Linked DNA regions of Neurospora crassa OR74A. Each later gene encodes a partner of the first gene's protein in a complex. Links are inferred from orthologs where the notes say so. Each region holds a gene or a part of one and is shown in the gene's direction. Other genes may lie near its edges.

Evidence for each region.
Region 2: NCU02157 (region 1) and NCU03957 share a complex: the UniProt entries of both Saccharomyces cerevisiae proteins name them as parts of the multi-subunit COQ enzyme complex. The link is inferred for Neurospora crassa OR74A from reciprocal best matches to the Saccharomyces cerevisiae genes COQ4 and CAT5.
Region 3: NCU02157 (region 1) and NCU00360 share a complex: the UniProt entries of both Saccharomyces cerevisiae proteins name them as parts of the multi-subunit COQ enzyme complex. The link is inferred for Neurospora crassa OR74A from reciprocal best matches to the Saccharomyces cerevisiae genes COQ4 and COQ11.

What each region holds. Positions count from the first base shown.
Region 1 is NC_026501.1:1,054,343-1,059,887, forward strand, and holds NCU02157 (COQ4), read left to right. Parts: upstream 1-2,485; 5' UTR 2,486-2,615; coding exon 2,616-2,880; intron 2,881-2,959; coding exon 2,960-3,738; 3' UTR 3,739-3,854; downstream 3,855-5,545. Other genes in the region: NCU02158 (hypothetical protein), read right to left, coding at 334-1,641, 1,699-1,905; NCU02156 (dsDNA-binding protein PDCD5), read right to left, coding at 4,009-4,294, 4,391-4,506, 4,648-4,671; NCU02155 (hypothetical protein), read right to left, coding at 5,250-5,545. UniProt on the Saccharomyces cerevisiae protein: Lyase that catalyzes the C1-decarboxylation of 4-hydroxy-3-methoxy-5-(all-trans-hexaprenyl)benzoic acid into 2-methoxy-6-(all-trans-hexaprenyl)phenol during ubiquinone biosynthesis.
Region 2 is NC_026506.1:2,239,245-2,245,020, forward strand, and holds NCU03957 (COQ7), read left to right. Parts: upstream 1-2,294; 5' UTR 2,295-2,568; coding exon 2,569-3,339; 3' UTR 3,340-3,847; downstream 3,848-5,776. Other genes in the region: NCU03956 (hypothetical protein), read right to left, coding at 1-249, 306-445, 507-1,213, 1,436-1,647. UniProt on the Saccharomyces cerevisiae protein: Catalyzes the hydroxylation of 2-hexaprenyl-3-methyl-6-methoxy-1,4-benzoquinol (DMQH2) during ubiquinone biosynthesis.
Region 3 is NC_026503.1:3,573,277-3,579,962, forward strand, and holds NCU00360 (NAD dependent epimerase/dehydratase), read left to right. Parts: upstream 1-2,274; 5' UTR 2,275-2,490; coding exon 2,491-2,597; intron 2,598-2,680; coding exon 2,681-3,440; 3' UTR 3,441-3,581; coding exon of another isoform or gene 3,582-4,601; 3' UTR 4,602-4,644; downstream 4,645-6,686. Other genes in the region: NCU00358 (hypothetical protein), read left to right, coding at 1-532; NCU00359 (YEATS family protein), read right to left, coding at 813-1,507, 1,586-1,820; NCU00361 (pre-mRNA-splicing factor syf-2), read right to left, coding at 3,582-4,601; NCU00362 (hypothetical protein), read left to right, coding at 6,117-6,686. UniProt on the Saccharomyces cerevisiae protein: Component of MIOREX complexes, large expressome-like assemblies of ribosomes with factors involved in all the steps of post-transcriptional gene expression. Component of a multi-subunit COQ enzyme complex required for coenzyme Q biosynthesis.

The sequences.
Region 1 (5,545 bases):
GAGCGAAAACTTTGGGGCTCGAAGAGGCCTCGGAGAGAATGATTCCACGACCCTTCGGCATGAACACAGATCGGAGTTCAACAGCCAGCACGAGGACACTTCAGGAAAACATCCGGTTCCGCGACGACCACCGTGCAATGACAGATACGCAGTCGCTAAACAAACCGCACAGTCAGCATCCACGCCGGCAATCGAATCAACATACATGTTTCGTCGTGCGATGGTCAAGTTGAGCTGTCCATCTATATTCCCAGCCTGCGACACAACCCTCGGTTTTTCTGCTGTCCCACTCTCCTCTCCTCCCTCCCCAAAAACCCGGGCAGTCTTCACCTCTCAGCCCTCAAGCTCCTTCAAAGCCCTATCAACCATCCTCTTCACCTGCATCCACCTCATCGACAACAGCCCTCTATGACACTCCCTCCCCACTACACCTTCATGTCCCTCCCTCCACTCCAACTTATCCAACCCGTCCCGAATCTTCTTCTCAATAGCATCTGAGCTCCAACGCTTAAGCGCTTGTGCCAGCAATGCATTCAGCTTCGCTTGTTCCTCCAGCGATTCCTCCCACGGGTCTTGGCCGTAGTCGATGAAGGCCCGGAACTTCTTTTCACCTTGCGGCCCTGCGCTGTCTGCGAGAGCGGCAAGGGCGCGAAGTGCGACCTGTGTGCGGTAGCAGCCTGTGGGGTTGCGCGGATCGAGATTGTAGTTGCCTAGGAAGCCGGTTTCCTCGAGGACTTCTTTGGGGGATTTTGGTGGTTGCTGTTGGGACGCTTGTGGCTTGAGGTCTTTTTTGCCTCGTTCGTTGAGTCTTCGAGTTACTTTCCTTGGTGGTTGCTGCTGCTGCTGTTGTTGGGATTGGGAGTGGGTTTGGGCTTGGTCGAGTAAAGGAAGGATGGCATCATCTATGCAGACTTCGTCCCAGACATTTTCGTCAAAGAGAAAGCCATATTCGATCAGGAGGAAATCGTTGGAGTGGTTGCCGTAACAGATGTAAACTTCTTCGCCGGCGGCGTAAGGGCGGGTGGTGGTGATGGTAAAGGCGGTCGGTGAGAAGGCGACTGAGCAGGTTTTCTTGTTGCCTTCCTTCTTCTCGGCTGATGGGTCGTAGGAGGTGTGGTTAAACAAGTCTGCGACTGGTTGCAGGACCATTCTGTCATCTTTATTGAACTTCTTCGTCTTTGGAGTTTCATGGTAGAAGGTGCGGGTGTTGACGAGGAGCCAGGCATAGAGGTAGTCATCTCTTGTTATGCTCTTATTCAGTGTTCCGCAATCTTCCTCTTCCAAGCTCTTGTTCTCTTTCTTGCCAGGCCCTGAAGAGAGGAGCTTAGACTGTTGGACCATGGACCAGTCCTTCTCAAATTTGGCCTCCTGTTTTAGAAGTAACTCCAGCGCCTTTCTGGGCAGAAACTGTCGTAGTCGGTGATCCCATGTTAGAGGCAAATAGTCCCACATATCTTTACGCGAAGGACAGACGGCGTTCCATTGCCGATACTTGGCGGACGGAGAAGGGTCGAAGGCAAGATCGGCGGCTAGGAGGCCGTGGATGGATATGTCCTTAGGCAGGGCACGGGATATGGAAGGGTGGACGGTTTCATACGTCCGGAGGGTGGTAGAGGGAACTGTTAGAATAGTTTCATCTTCCTGATGATATTGTTAGTTGATTTGAACCAATAGTCCAACATGATGAGAATGACTTACCTCGAGTGGCTTTGTAGCCACTATTCCCATACCTCGGCCTGGTATCCGTCTAGGCTCGACGCCGTTGAGGATGATACCTCTATCTTTTGCCCATATGAGCAGTTCTTCGTATGCTTCCATATCGGATGCTTCTATCTGATCTTCTTCTCGGGTGTTCCTCTTCCCAACCTTCTCCTTTGCTGCTGCTTCGCGTTTTCTTTTTGCCATTTTGATCAGATACTGTGTAAACGTGATACAGTTGGGGAGTAACCAAAAGAGTCACGTATTTGCAACAAAACTTAGGTGTAGGAAAATCAATAGGTGAAGGCCAAAGAGTGATAGAAGATGATGTGTATTAAACCAGTGAAGTGTAAGTGAGAGTGAAAACAAAGGCATAAATCCCAGGGTGTCACTGCATCCTGTCAAGCAACCGGCTGAAACCTTCCACCTGTTCCAATTTCTCGCCTACATACCTGTTTCTAGAGACTATGGATCTCGATCAGAGGTCTTGGATGGAAGCTTGATTTCCTCTTTGGGAGTTGTTTGAGCGGGACTGGTTACACTAGCCCTTGCATAGGTCTAAGATGGGGTTCAAGTGGTCGTCAAGAAAGAGTGAACTGAAGTGAAAGTTACGCAATTGTCCTGTGCAACGTATTTTACGGTATTTATCATCCCCCACGGTGAGTTGGCATACCTCGACTTTCACCGAGCAGGAGCTCCCCTCACCTTGAGCTAGAGGTACCGCGGCCCCTACGTAAGTCCTTATCGCTGTCGTTATCGCAGTTGTTACATGCTCGGTTTCCGCATCCGAACGGATCGAACCACCACTTGCAACTTGACAACCACTCGAGCTCTGGAGGAATTGCGCGTTCCTCGTCCATCTCCATCTCTACTCCAACCCTAGGGCTTCCTCCTGGTTGTTCGAATTGCGCTTGACAATGGAAGTGACGGCCCTCAGACGATCCGCGGCTCTAGTAGCTCGCGCCAGCAGCCAGAATGCAATCCGGCCTGCCGTATGCGCCGCCATCAGCAGCACATCACCAACACCACCGACCCAGATCCAGACACAGCAAACAAGACAATTCTCGGCCCTTAACCGCCCACCACCAAACTACCCTGGCCATGTCCCTCTCACCCGCCTCGAGCGCTTCGGCCTCTTCGTCGGCTCAGGCCTCATCTCCCTCGCCGACCCCCTGCGCGGCGGTCCGTTTCGTCCCCGTCCATCTCCCACCACCTAGTCTCCTGTCCAACTAAACTAATCACCCTCTTGATATTCCCACAGACCTAATAGCCTCCTTCGCCGAAGCCACCGCAACGCCCTACTTCATCTACCGCCTGCGCGACGCCATGCTGTCCCACCCCACGGGACGTCGCATCCTGCGCCAACGACCGCGCATCACCTCCCAATCTCTCAACATCCCTTACCTGCGTTCCCTGCCGCCCAACACCGTCGGACGAACCTACATTGACTGGCTCGACCGCGAAGGGGTATCTCCCGATACGCGCTCGGCGGTGCGGTACATCGACGACGAGGAGTGCGCATACGTGATGCAGCGGTACCGCGAGTGCCACGATTTCTACCACGCTTTGACGGGCTTGCCGATCGTCCGGGAGGGCGAGGTGGCGCTGAAGGCGTTTGAGTTTGCGAATACCCTGTTGCCGATGACGGGGTTCAGCGTTTTCGCGGCGTTCACGATGAAGAAGAGCGAGCAGAAGCGGTTTAGGAAGATTTACTTCCCCTGGGCAGTTAAGAATGGACTGCGGGCCAAGGAGGTGATTAACGTCTTTTGGGAGGAGGAGTTGGAGCGGGATGTAAATGATTTGAGGAGGGAGTTGGGCGTGGAACCGCCGCCGGATCTGAGGGAGATCAGGAAGCGGGAGAGGGAAGAGAAGAGGAGGAGAAAGGAGATGGAACGGATGCTGAGCGGGCGCGGGACAGAGGACGTCATCCAGAAGGCGGAGAAGGAAGCTGAAGTGGTGGCGGAACGGGTGAAGGAGATGAGGAATGAGGTGGTTGAGAAGGTTGGCGAGGTTGTCGGGTCTTCGGCTATGAGAGGATAGACGGATCGTGGGGCATCGATGGGGGTATGATGGACCCGATCACCTCTGTGAAACTAATGTAGAACATATTGTATTCCCAGCTTCAGCGAATTTATGACAACGCCTCTTTGACTCCATCTCGTTCGTGCTCCCAAACTTGGATATGGACTATCGTGTCCTCATGTCATTCATAAGAAAGCGATAATCCCATTAAAAACCGTTAGGGCCATAGAACTCCTTCGTTCCCCCTTTCTCCCAGGTATATCACTCTGTCCCAACCCATTGTCCCACCTACAAATCAAACAAATCATCATCATCATCATCCAACCCCCACCCCTTCCTCCTCGTCACTACAATCTTCTCCGCCTCCTTGTTATCCGCCACGGCGTTCAGCAGCTCCTTGAGCTGCTCTTCCGTCACTTTCGAGCGGAGCTGCCCCGTCTGCGCCAGCATCATCAGCCGGTTCTCAATGTCGGTCGCGCGCTCCTCCTTGACGAGTCGGATGCGGCCCAGCCGATCGGCGGCTTCGGGCATGAGGATCTGGTTGAGCATGGCTTTGCGGGCTTCGGCTTCTTGTCTGTTTGTAGGAAAGAAAAGAGGAGGTGCTGTCAGCATTTGCAAAGGGAGAGGTGGGGGCGCGGGACGGGAACATGACGGAGAGGCCGTAACTTACTGTCTAGAAGCTTCCTGACCACCTTGCCCACCGGCGCCAGAGGGACCACCGGCCTTGGGACCACCACCGCCGCCGCCGCCTTGCGCCTTGAGCTGTTCAAGACGGGCCTTCCTGATCTGTCCAAAAGTAAAAGTGTTAGTACCTATAAATCGTGTTGTTACTGTATACAGCCATCAAGGTGTAATTCGTGCGCCGCATCTGTGAATGTCTGTCGATGCTACCATGGGCTGGCGGGAAAATGGAGATGGGATGCGCACCTTCTCGAGCTCAGAGTCATCCATCTTTGACGAGTTGGTTGGATTCGCGGTAGGTTGGCGACTAGCTTAAGGGTTGGAGAAATGGTTCTTGAGTGTTTGAAGTGTGGTAAAGCGCTTGGTTTGCTGTAGGAGGTTTAGGTTGTTGCGATGATGGACGGAAGGGAAGCACGGCGATCGCGGGGTTGCTTGGGGTCTTGAGGGAAGTTTTTAGTGGGGCAGGCATAGCGATAAGTTACGTAGGTAGCGGATCTGATCAGGGTCACAATAGGGGTATTGCAACGGTATTGTTTACACAGCAGCATCTAGAATACCAGTTGCTGGAGGCACCTCGAACACCACAGGGGCAGGATTGGTGACAGACGAAAAGTCAAGACAACGCGGCCAATGCCGGGCAGAAAAGGGGTACACTTGAGCACAGTATTAGACCGGATCTTCATAATGCCATGCTATTCATATGCAAAACTAAAAATATAGGTATGTACAGGATGATCCGTCTCCAAAAACCACGACCACTTCCGCCATAACACCTTTTATCGCCATAATTCTGTTTATCCGTCTATATATGCAGTAAATATTGGTCATACGACCCCGTGATCTATACATCATCTAATCTTGTTGAGAATATTTTTGAGAGGCATGGGCCAGAGCCTGTCGGGATAATGGGTATACGGCTCCGGAACATGAGGAACAAGTTTCGGCTGATAAGGAACCTCGAACGGAATCTCCCTCTTCCTCCTCTCTGCCAAAACCTTCTGCTTAGCCTTGACGGCTGACCAGATACTGTCAAGAGCGTTCACGGAAAGACCGAGTGTCTTGCCGCGCATGACGAAATAGCCAGTCACATATCCAATATCAGTGTCCAAACCCCTGGCAGTCAACCTGCGCATGGGACTGTCAG
Region 2 (5,776 bases), on another chromosome or scaffold:
GCGGGCGATGGCGGCCTCGTCGTTGGCCTGGCGAGCGATGTCGAGCTGCTTCTTGAGGTATTCGCGTTGGGCACCAGAGAATTTGGCCTGCAGGGCGTTCTGACGCTTGAGCTTGTCCGAGAGCTCCTGCTCGGTCCACGTACGCTGGACGAGGCGGTTGATGTCATCGATCTTGTCGACAAGGGTCTGTTTGTCTGGGAAGGGGACACCCTCGGCAAGACAGACTTGTTTGTAACGGTTGTACTCGGCCTGTTGAGGGTCTGATTAGAGATGATGACAAGCGAGGAAAGAACAGGCACGCATACCTCTGTAAACTTTCGGTCGGAACATGTGATCAAAGGCCACTCCCTGACGGCTTTACCGTGGGCAGCCTTGACATACATATCGACGACCATTTGGTGACCCTGATGATCTTCCAAGGCATATGCCTTACCGGTAGTGAAACCTGCATTCCGAGCGTTAAACGACATCTCAGCTTAACAAGGGTCTAACGGGAATGATCTTACCCTTAATGAGAGCCATACGGTAGACATCCTGGCGAGTGTCGGGATCGGGACCAATATTCAGGCGAACAAAGCATCCTGTGAGTGCTTCATCAAAGCCGGGGTAGAAAGCAACCTCGGCAAAGCGACTGCGGCCAACACGAACACGCTCAAAGTCCCGAAGCTCAGCAGGCGGGCTTTCTCTGCTCTCTGGCGAACGAGATCTGTGCTTCTTGTTGCTCGGGCCATCCCAGTCCACGTCGCTATCATCACCACGACCGGGGCTGCGTCGGTACGAAGGCGAACGCTTACGACGGTCATTTTCCCGCTCTCGCTGCTCCTTGCGGTTGGAGCGTTCCTCCCGGGCCCGCCGGAGAGAATCCATCTTGTCGTCGGCCTTGGTGCGAGCCCGTGATGTCTTGCGTGACGAATCATCGAGCTCGGCTAGGCTTGCCTTGCGCTTCTTCTCTTGGTTGACCTTCAGCTGGCGAAGCATGCGGTTCTGGCGGATACGTTCATTCTCCTCTCGACGCTCGGCCAGAATCTGTTCCCTCTCGATTTCACGCATGCCCATGATCTGCTCCTTCTCTTCGTAGTCGCGGAAGAGACCGTCGACAGGGTACTGGTTCACCTCATCGTCAACACTACGCCTCGCCGGCGAGGCATCTGAGTCTGAGTCTGATTCGTCCATGGGGGCAGAAGCTTGGGAGTCCGGGGATCCCGGCGGAGAGCTGCCGAAGAGAAGTTGTTTAGCCTTGACCATCATCTTGAGCAGCATGGTGGGCGGGGTGATTGAGAGGAATCAAGAAGGGAAGGAGGCAAGAGGAGGAGCAGAAGGGGTTGATAAAGGCGAGCTGTAGGCTGAGGTCGATGTGGCGCATGGGTGACATGTAGAACGGCAGCCCTAGGGCTACCTGAGAGCTGGGTGAAGGAAAAGAAAGACAAGCACTCACGCCTGGCCCTCGTCCTCCGACTCGTCATCGCTTCTGGCACGTTTCCTTCCCACTGACTTCTTGGCCGTTCCCCTGGTAGACGTATCCTTCTTCCTCGGTTCTGGTGACGGGGAGCGGGAATCGTCCCTGCTCATGTCCATAGCCTCATCTCCGCTGTCATCGGAGGCGTCACCGCCTGCAAGGGCGAGCAACTCGTCGTCGATGTCTGACATGGTCGCTTGTCTGTCACGGGCTGTCGGTTCTTATAAAGCTGCTTCTGTGTGGCTGTAAGCGCTAGGGCTATGCAATGGCTGCTGCGCAAAGCAGGGTTCGATGGAAAACCGTCGGGTGCAGATGGCGAACGCGATGTCGGGATACGTCGAGTGAAGGGCCGAACTGATTCTTCCAAACACTTGTTGGTGGATATGATCGGAACCAACAATGTTCTCCCAATTGTGGGTTAACAATGCGCCAAAATCAAAAAGTCGTTATGCAATCGGGTGGTGTTGAGGCGGCGACGGGAGCGATGAATGAGTGAGGCGACAAGAAAGTCCAAAGCGGGATGAGAGAAAGGTTAGTATAAGTAGAAGGGAGGTGAACTCCTATTGTCCAGCAGTTATCAATAGGAATTCAATGGGGTCTGGTCTAGGCTGATGGTAAGGTAAGTACCTACTTTATGGAACTTGGGCGGCGCGACCTGGAACTCCACCCGCTTGTGCGCGACCTGACGGACAACTTCAACGTCCAGGGGCAGTGCTTGGCGTGACGGGAGTTGGTGAGTGGTGGTGGTGGTCAAGGCGCCCAAAAGTTCCACACCGCCCAAAGGTTAGATCAGGCCCGTTGCCGGCCCGGCAAAAGCCCAATTGAATTGAGTCCCGTCGTCCTTTTGACCCTTGGCTTGACCAACGTCATCGCATGTGCAGGCAGCCCTGTGGAGCACTCAGCGATGGAGCTTCCCGTTCGAGGTCGCCGTGATTTTGTAAGTGGGCCGACTTTCGAGGTCCCGTCTTTCACTCGGCCTCGGCGCATCTCCCCCGAGCTTACTGTACTCCGTCGCAACAACCGCCTCCGGTCCGTGCAACATCAGCTTTCACCAACTCGTCCCAAGTCTTCCTCCAACACGCAAGACCGAAAAGACCGTCACAGCCCATATCATGCTTCGTCCAGCAACCAGGCCAGCCCTCGTGGCCACCAGACAGGTCCGGCAATGCGCCGCGCGCTTCTTCTCCTCCCCCGTCTCGCCTGATACCAGCTCCTCGCATGTCCACAGCCCCTCCACAACCCCCGAGACCAACCCAGCACCACCACCACCAAACTCCAGGTCGTCGACAAGTTCTTCCAAGGGTAAAAAACCCCTCACTGCCGAGCAGCGCGCCTTCCTCTCGTCCGCCCTCCGCGTAAACCAGGCCGGCGAGCTCGCCGCCACCCTCATCTACACGGGCCAGACCCCGCCTCTCGTAACCCGGGACCCCTCGCTGCGCCCGCTCATGAAGCACATGTACGACCAAGAGGCGGCGCATCTGCGCACCTTCAACGACCTGATCTACCGCCACCGCGTACGGCCCACGGCGCTGTACCCGCTTTGGTCCGTCATGGCCACGGGCTTGGGCTGGGGCACCGCCATGCTGGGCAAGGAGGCAGCCATGGCGTGCACCGAGGCGGTAGAGACGGAGATTGGCGGCCATTATAATGCCCAGATCCGTAAGCTGCTGGAGATGGTGAGCGAGTGGGAGGCTGAGGGGTATGAGGTTGGCGCAGAGTTCAGGCATCTGATCAACACGTTGAGGAGGATACGGGATGAGGAGCTGGAGCACCTGGATCATGCGGTTGAACATGATGCGCAGAAGGCGGAGCCGCACTGGTTGTTGACGGGGGTGATTAGGGCGGGGTGCAGAGGTGCCATTTGGGTTAGTGAGAGGGTGTAAGAGGGGGGTTTTCTTTGGGGTCGGTACGTGAAGGGAAAAAAGTTAATTTTGAAGGAGGATTGTGTCGATGAAGATGAGAACGAATTCATGAGGGGACAGGAGCATTAGCATTATGCTCTGCAAAGCACGGATTACAAACCTGTCCGTTTGTACTATTAGCTTATTGGGAGGGTAGGCGACGAAGCGAAAGCACCGATGTGCTGTTTCGACCAGTTCACTCAGTTCTTGAAGCACCTCGACAACAGCACTCATTCACAAATGGCCGCTTTCTCAAGGCATCACTGCTAAGAGCAGAGGTGGCTCATTTTGCTTTAGTGTGGAGTCCATATGAAAATCAGCGCGTGGCGTGGGTAGCTTAGGTCACTAGGAGAGAAGAGGGTTCACTTCGAATTGGTATCTAGGTCACTCTTGTTCTTTGCGCGTCTTTCACAAAGATAAGCATGAGTTGGCAACACTGATGGCTCGACTCATGGGCTACATCACAAGCTCAATATTGCTGAGGCTTTGGTTTCATATCCGGGTACGCTTGTGGCTGCTGCTCGAGTCGGCGGTGAGTGTCACTTTTTTTTTTTTTTTTTTTTTTTTTTTTTTTTTTTTTTTTTTTTTTTGGATGAATTCCCCACATCGACAACGTCAGTGCTTCAGTCATTCTAGGATCATCTCAAGACGCAACGTCAACATGCTGGATTAGTTGGAATGGCCTAATATTTTTGAGGAGGTACGGAGACCGCGATCGAGGAGCTGGATTCTCGTGAGCCTGATTGTCCCAAGCTGGAGGAAAGAAGAGTAAAATAGCATGCTAACCTCATTGGCAAAGCGTCGATGACTTCTGGGGAAAAGACAGCGCAACAAAAGACAACCCGCCAGGGCTGCAATCATCAAGCCATCCTCAAATCACTGAAAGGTTGAAAGAGGGATACCAAGGAGAGCGAAGATAACACCCCATCTCACGGAGGAAGCCATTCGAACAAGGCATATGAGAGTCAAGCTATCCGCATGACACCTCGTAACGAATAATGTGTGCCACACTCACCAGCATCAATCACTATTACTACTCGGGGGGCATCACATTTGATGCGGGACAGAACAGAAGCATAACATCACCTTATATACCTTCGCACTATCGAATGGCCCGTCCGTTTGTCTGGTAAGGATAGGTAGGTAGCGCAATAGAAGAGACATGAAAAAGAAAGTGAAAGTGACCATCACGGTCACAGTGACCAAGCCCACATGGTATTTATCAACCAACTTCATTTACACACACACACACACACACACACACAAAAGCACAAAGGAGACAGGATCATCATATCATGTTCACTTGTCGTTGGGAAAAAAAGAAAAAAATTGAAAAAAAAAATTGAAAAAAAAACCCCCATCCCATGTTCACCATATCACACTCACACCCCTGGACACTCCGGACGTCGTTGGATAGTGGACACTAGGTACGAGTAGTACAGCGGCAACCAAGCCGAAGCCCTTGTCCGATTGGTTAACGATGGCCGTCTGCAAGCGCCGGGAGTTGTGAGTCTTTAAGGGTTTCTGGCCAATCAGGACCTGGATTGGCTAGCGTACCTGGATTGTTTCAGGGCCGCCAGGGGGAAAGGATCACAGTGATGGGTTGGGAGTGGACGGCGCTAGTGCGGAGGCGGAATTGTTTGGGCGGACAGGGGCCATGGAGTTTTATGTGCTGGTACTATCTGGGCCTGACCTCTTTTCTGTGTTTTCTCTTCGTCAATGGACGTTGTTGTTGAATGAAATTGCCTATACACGTGAGACAGTGGAAGCAATGGCGGCGGTAAGGCGCAACGAGAACGGATACCTAAGTGAGGTCAAGTAATATCAAGACAGGCCGCTGGTCGCTGGATGATCACCTAGGTATGTAGTCGGGAAGGCGAGAAACCGTTCTTTGATGTAGTAATGGAAAGACAAAGTGCCGAATGCAACGGTCGGCGACTCGTTGATGGTGATATTTGAGTGAGACAGCATGACCATTGACCAGGTTCAACCAGGCACGCCCAGGCACAGTAAACGCAGGCGAACCTCGGCGTCACATAACGACAGACCCGGATAAATCGACTGTGTGCCCAGATATTTCGGCGGTGTGGGGCCATACAAACTGAGCACCAAGCCAAGCCAAGAAGCCAAGACCCTTGAACTTGGCAATTGGCATTAACTTTGCGCGTAGTCACCTACCCTTCCTCGCCTTCTATTAACGACAACTTAGAGCAACTAATTGGTATTGACTTTGGAGCTCCCGTTGTATTACTCTTTGGCTCTAGGAGTAGTACTTTCCAACGGGCTGTCTCCGACCTTGGCCTCGCGTTTGTCTCTATGCATCCTTAGCTTCAAATGCCTCATTTCCACCACCATCTCTTAGTCCTTCGAATTCTATCTCCCTCATCTTGAGAAGCAACTCAAGGCAAGCATCGCATTG
Region 3 (6,686 bases), on another chromosome or scaffold:
CGCTCAATCCTCGCCCTGCTCTCTAGCCCGAGTCATCGCATCCATGAACCTTTCTGCCATCTCCGCTTCATTGGACACCAAGCCAGCGACGAGGGAGAATCCCGTTGGTGTGCAACCGGCTGTTTCTCTGGATGGCGAGGACGATGGCAGGCCAGGAATGGACCAAGTAGACGAGCGCTACCGCGTCGCGCTTGTTCACTGGCTGCAAAGCAATTCGTTGCTGCCCAAGCTGCGGGACGCGCAAGAGAGCTTGGACCCGGCGCCGGAGGGGACGAGTGACCAGGAGAAGCTGGCGTTGGCGATGACGTTGAGGGATTGTACCTGTTTTGTGAGAATATCGGAAGACTCGAAGGCAGGCTTGAAGGTGGAAGCCAAGCTGGCGGATTTGGATAAGAAGAATTGGGAGGCTAAGTTGGAGTATTGGAAGGGGATGGATGAGGTGTTGAAAGAGGGGGGGTATTATGAGGGGGTGGAGGTGCCGAGGATCCGGACGAGGTGTTTCATGGAGGTTGGGGCAGGGGAGGCGGCCTGAGAGTTTATGCCATTGATGTTGTCATGGGCTTTCAAGGGAGATGGATGGGCACTTGTAATGGTGATGGTTCGGTGCCGTGCTGGCCTTGAACAACCCTAAATGATGAACGATAAAGCGCCGTTTTTCCTTACCCAACACTAGCAATGCAATTTGTGACACCCTGGCTGTTTAGCACCCATGAACGCCACAACTCCCTTTACTCAACATAATCCGGATCAGATGCCACACGGGAACGCCGCCTCCGAGCTGCCTTCTGCGCTGAACGCTCCTCGACTTCCTTCTAGGGAGCCTTAGCGCTCTCCGCCCTCAGTGCCTCCAGCCGTTTCTGCTTCTTCTCCAACTCCTCCATCATCTGCTTCTTCATCTCATCCACCTTTAGCTTCGCCTCCTTGAGCTTCTGAATCTCCAACTGTTCCGTCTCCCGACTGAACGGCTGCCCGGGTCTATTAACCAGAGGGATCATCGCGCTCCTCTCCAGCACGCCTCCCTCGGACTTTTGTATCACGAACGGCTCCTCTTTTGACTCGTTATTGTTCTTCCCGTCCTTGTTCGTGCTCACACTAGCCCGCGAGTGACTCCTCTCGTGCCCTTTCTTATTTCCGCCCTTGCTGCTGCTCGCCCCGGGCGTGTTCGCACTGGTCGGCGTCGCGGCGCCACTACCGCCGCCGCCGCCGCCGTCTTTCAGTGTTGAAGCCGATGGCGGGAGGGCGCCGGAGATGAGGATATCGTAAAAGGGCTCGTAGGGTTCGTTGAAGATCTGTTCCTCGTATACCCAGGAAATGACCTCGCCGCCGTTGAGGCGCATAGCCTCCTTCTCTTCTTCGGTGCGGCCGAATGGGTGCAGGCGCAGATGGTGATAGAGCGTTTGAGGCTTCTCGGAGGATTCGGGGACGTAGTACAGCTTCATGGTGATTTCGAACTCACCCCAGCCGGTCTCGTGTATTTGGAAGGGTTGGCCTTTGACCCCTTCTACCACTGGACGGAGGGACACGGTTGATTAGCTTAGGTCGAAGGGGATGGAGGGAGGTTTGAGAACCGGAGGTAGGGACGTACTTCGAACATGGTTTGGAATGGACTCGTGAAGCTTAAACTGAACGCGCCGAAGCCAGTACGTAATGTCCACATCGTCGATGCCCTTGATGAAAACGGTCCAGGAGTGCGTGTGATCATCTGGAATGCCGGGTGGTTTGGGGTTGGTCTTTTCGTCGAAGGGCCGTGCTGTTGTTCCGTAAACGAAGGGTCGAAATATTTGAACGCCCTTGACACGCTTGCCTGTAGGTGGTGCCATCTTGTTTGGCGGTGATGGTTATGGATAGGTTGAAGCTGTTCGAAGTGTGGAGATTCGCGCTGTTTCGCGGTGGTTTCGACAGACGCGGTAGGCCAACTGGTAAAGCTATAGCTATAGCGATATAGCTGGGCAAACGCAAGTCGTTTATCAGACCTGAATACGACTAGATGACTGTGTACGGGAGGCGTGATTCTTGAAGAAGTGAAGATGGCGCAAAGAGAACAAAATGATGATTACAGGATTACAAAAGTGCCACCACCAGCAAGGTACCTGCATGAAGGATGGAGAAAAAAGTTGGGTGTGTTCCAGCCTTGAATGCGGGGCAGAGAAGCCCAACTGCTAAGGTTCCCTTTCCCTCCGGGGTTTAGCGGACCCTTGGCGCTGCTAATTTATCGAAAGACATCAGTGCCACCCTTGTAGATGATTGTTCGATAAGGATTTTTCGAGTCTGGATAACGGATCGAGGCTCTCCATGATGCAATCGTCTGGGGTTTCGATTGTTTACTTCTGCGGAGAGAAAATCGGAGAGGAAACCTGGAAGCATAACCTAGTTTGCCGAGAAAGAGTCTGATAAACATAAAAAGAACCTGACCAGCCAATGTGTTTGAGCTACCTATTCTTGAGATAATATCCTTCTTCCCAAGCTCTCACCCTCAAGCAAGCTTCCATCATGTCGTCCGCCGCAAAGAAGCTTATCGTCGCCGGAGGCAACGGTTTCCTCGGCTCCAGGATCTGTCAGGCGGCTGTCCACAGAGGATGGGATGTGACATCAATTAGGTATCATACTCCAACACTATCCTCCATAGCTTATCATTCCACCCTTTACAAATGGATGAACTGACCACCTCTTCTACGTCCAGTCGCTCCGGCCAACCGAACTGGTCTTCCGTATCCGCCTCCCCCTCCGCTCCCTCCTGGTCGACCGCCGTTTCCTGGGAGCGCGCTGACATCTTCCGCCCCGCCGAGTGGATTGCCCTCCTGAACGGTGCTGACTATGTCGTCCATTCTCTGGGCATCCTCCTCGAAGCCGACTACAAGGGCGTCATCTCCGGTCGGGAATCTCCTATTGCAGGCCTCCAGAAGGCCTTCTCGCCCCGTCACACCCCAAACCCGCTCCAGCGTCGTCCCGATGACGAGCTCCGTCCTCCGACCAACGCGAACCAGTTGACCTACGAGATGATGAACCGCGATAGCGCCATCCTGCTCGCCAAGGAGGCCGCTAACAAAGGCGTTAAGGGCTTTGGATACATCTCGGCTGCGGGAGGAGCGCCCGTGTTGCCGAGCAGGTATATCTCAACCAAGAGGGAGGCTGAGGACGTGATCGCGCGGGAGTTTCCCGACATGCGGAGTGTATTCTTCAGGCCGCCATTCATGTACGACAGCTCGCGGCCTGTGACGATGCCGCTGGCGGCGATGACCATGGCGGGAAGTATCTTCAACGGGGCCACAGGAGGAGTGCTATCAGACTTCTTGGGGAGTGCGGGGACGAAGCCTCTCAAGGCAGATCTGGTTGCGGAGGCGGTGGTGGAAGGATTGGACGATACAGCGGTTAAAGGGGCAGTTGAGGTCCCCGAGCTGGAGACTTTGGCGAACAAGGGTTGGAGGAGAACTATGCTTTGAGAGCAAAAAATCGGCTCAAATGGTCTGTATTTTACCTGAATCATAACCTTGGCAATGTATAAAACGATGATGCTTGACATATAAAAACCAATAATCAATCCTTCAACGCCGTTTCCTCTTCGCACGAAGCCCAGAGTTACCCTAAACCATGGTTCCTCTCTCAAAGCTGTCCCTAATCTCTGCCGTGTACTTGTTATAGAACCTCGACAGCTTCTGGTTGAACTGCTTGTTCTTCTCGTTGATGTACGTGACGTCCGCGTCGTCGCCGTTGTTCGCCATGCGCTCCCTCCTTTTCTTAAGGCTGGCCTCCTCGGCCTTGCGCATATCGGCCACCAGTCGATCAACGGCCGCCTTGTCGGGCTTGTGTTGTGCGAACTGCGTCGAGTCTGCCGTGCTAAAGAAGGTGCCGTCCTTGTCAATCGCAATCATCTCTCCATCCTCTGTCTCAACAATCTCCAATGTGCCAGCCGCCGCAGCCTTTTCGATCGCCGCCAACTTTTCGCGCGTGTACCTCTCCAGATCGGGGCCTCCCATGTTGCGCAGTTGCCGCTTGTAGGACTTTTCGGCTTGTTGGTTGTAGTCGCGGAAGGCAGTGTCATCGCGGTGCGCCTCCTTCTTTTTCATGCGCTTGTCCCACCGCTCTGATTCCTCGACCGTCCAGTCCCAAGCCCGCTTGCGCTCAAAGTCGCCCCCGGCATCTTCAATGTCGGCTTTCAGCAGCTTGTGGGAGGCAATCGCGTGGCGACGGCCGAGGGCAGTGAGTTGACTAGGGTCGCTCTGGAGGCGCTGGGATTCTTTGGTGGCTTTTTTGAGATTTTGCTGCGAGGATGACTTGGCGCGGGCTTGGAGGGCACGGAAACGCTCGGCACGCTCGCGAGCTTTGGCGGCCGCAGACTCTGCAGCAGAGGTGGATGTGGGTGGAGTTGACGAGGACTGAGATGTTGCTGCGGTGTCAGGTTGTGCGGTCTCCGAGGCTGATAGAACCGGTGGTGATGAAGATGACGTCGTTGCGAGCGCTGCTTCTGTGACCGATGGCTCCTCCTTGGAATCGGTCACGGTCTGATTATTTGGCTCTGTCGTGGACTCGGCGACGTCGTTTTCTTGTTGAGTGACTTCTGCCTTGTCTTCGGGCTCGGTCTTTCTTTTCTTTTCAGGAGGCATTTTCAATAGACTTCGTTTTGTTGAGATGTGTTGTGTGGGTAAGTAGTTGTGTGGTGTGAAATCCGGATTGTGTCAATGAAGCGGAAAGAAAACAGCCTCTCTGAAGCTGCTGTGCTGTGCCTGGGCTGGTCTGGACGCTAGGGCCAGTGCCTGGCAAGACGGAAAGTGGAATGCTGAGCAAGCCTTTCTACAGCGATTGTATACGATAGAGTGATGCATAAGTGGGCCGTGAGAGCCTGTCTTTTAGGTTTAGCGCCGATCATTACAGGACATTTACTACAGTCAAGTCTGTATATAACGATATGAGGTATAACGATATCGTGTAAATAACGATCAATTTCACTGCCACCGTTCCAGTTGTATAGTGATTTCAGCAGTATAACGATATACAGTCAAGTCTGTATATAACGATATGTGCTTACCCCTTGGATTTGATCGTTGTTCCTAGATCATTACAACCTTTAGTAGTACTAAGTATACTAAGACTGATTCGAATAGGTACTTGGGTACCAAAAAGCAATAGTTAAAGTATAGCCAAAGGATGAGTTGGAAATATTTCCTATATCTACCACCTAATAGGTATAACGATCACTATACAAATTGAGCCTGAATATTAATTGTAATCGCAATACGGAATATATTGTTATACTGCTGAAATCACCATACAACTGGAACGGTGGCAGTGAAATTGATCGTTATTTACATGATATTGTTATACCTTATATCGTTATGTACAGACTTGATTGTATTCCGTATTGCAATTACGATTAATATTCAGGCTCAGTTTGTATGGTGATTGTTATACCTATTAGGTGGTAGATATGGAAATATTCCCAACTCATCCTTTGGCTGTACCTTAACCACTGCTTTTTGGTACCCAAGTACCTGTTCGAGTCAGTCTTGGCGTGCTTGGCACTACTGAAGGTTGCGATAATCTGGGAATAACGATCAAATCCAAGGGGTAAGCACATATCGTTATGTACAGACTTGACTGTAGCGGCTTTCTAGCGCTCCTTCCCCAGATTTTGCAGACAGCGCCAAGAGGGGGGAGTTGAACGTCTCGGCCCGCCTCGTACCTTCTCCGTGCCGTCTTCGACCAGATTGAACTTGCACTCTTGACCATAAAGTACCTTTGTACCTGTTACACAGAACACGGCATCGCAACCAATATGAAAGGAATATTAGGCAGACCGGTCGAGGAGATGAGGAGAAAATGGAAGGCACCGCGGGCGGGTGCAACCGGTCAAGAGGGAAGGAGGGTTTACTTGACTGATTGATGGTTCACCGAGTGCTCTCCTTCTCTCCGTCACCCTCTTGCCCTATGCCCTATGCCGCCAGCTTCGCACATCCAATACTCACCTTGTGTTTCTTCACAGTTCAAGTTGGTGACACAAAGTCCAGCCTCGTTTCCTCCCAATCACAGCAGTTCCCAGCCGCCAGTAACGCCTACAGTCGTCGCGTATCTTGTCGGGTAAGGCTGGATCGCCAACTCTCACGCGCAAGTGGACGACAAGCATGATACCTTATCGGAGGTGGTGCTGGCCTGCATTATCTTGGCTTCAGCTAGTCACAATATCCTCACCAAGATGGCACCTTCGGGCATTTCAGCCAGTCCAGGTTTCGGCCGCCTACTCCATAATGCCCAAAAGGAAGAAGAAAGAGAAAACCACAGGGAGCTGGGTTGACGTTGATGACACCTTTTTCACCTCGAATTCTCAAAAATCCGGGGACATCCAGGGAGTCGAAGCTGGACTGGATGAGCCTCAAGTGGAAAGCCCAAGAGTCCGCAGAAAGGAGATGCGGGAGCTTAGGAACCGGTACTTTTGGAAGCACTGGGTGCAAAAGCACCCAAACTACGTCTGGAATAGGGCTGGTCGCAGAGATCAACAAAGGTCCACGATCAACAAAGATGGACTTCATACAAAGACCAATGATGAGAGTGTTGTCAACTATCCCGAAACTGAAGCTGAAAGAAGACAGGAGAGAGTCAACCTCTGGAATACGTGGGTTATGAACCACCCGACTTTCAAGCACAGCAAATTCGGCCAATTAAGAAGCTCGGGGAAAATCAAGGGCTATGGTCAA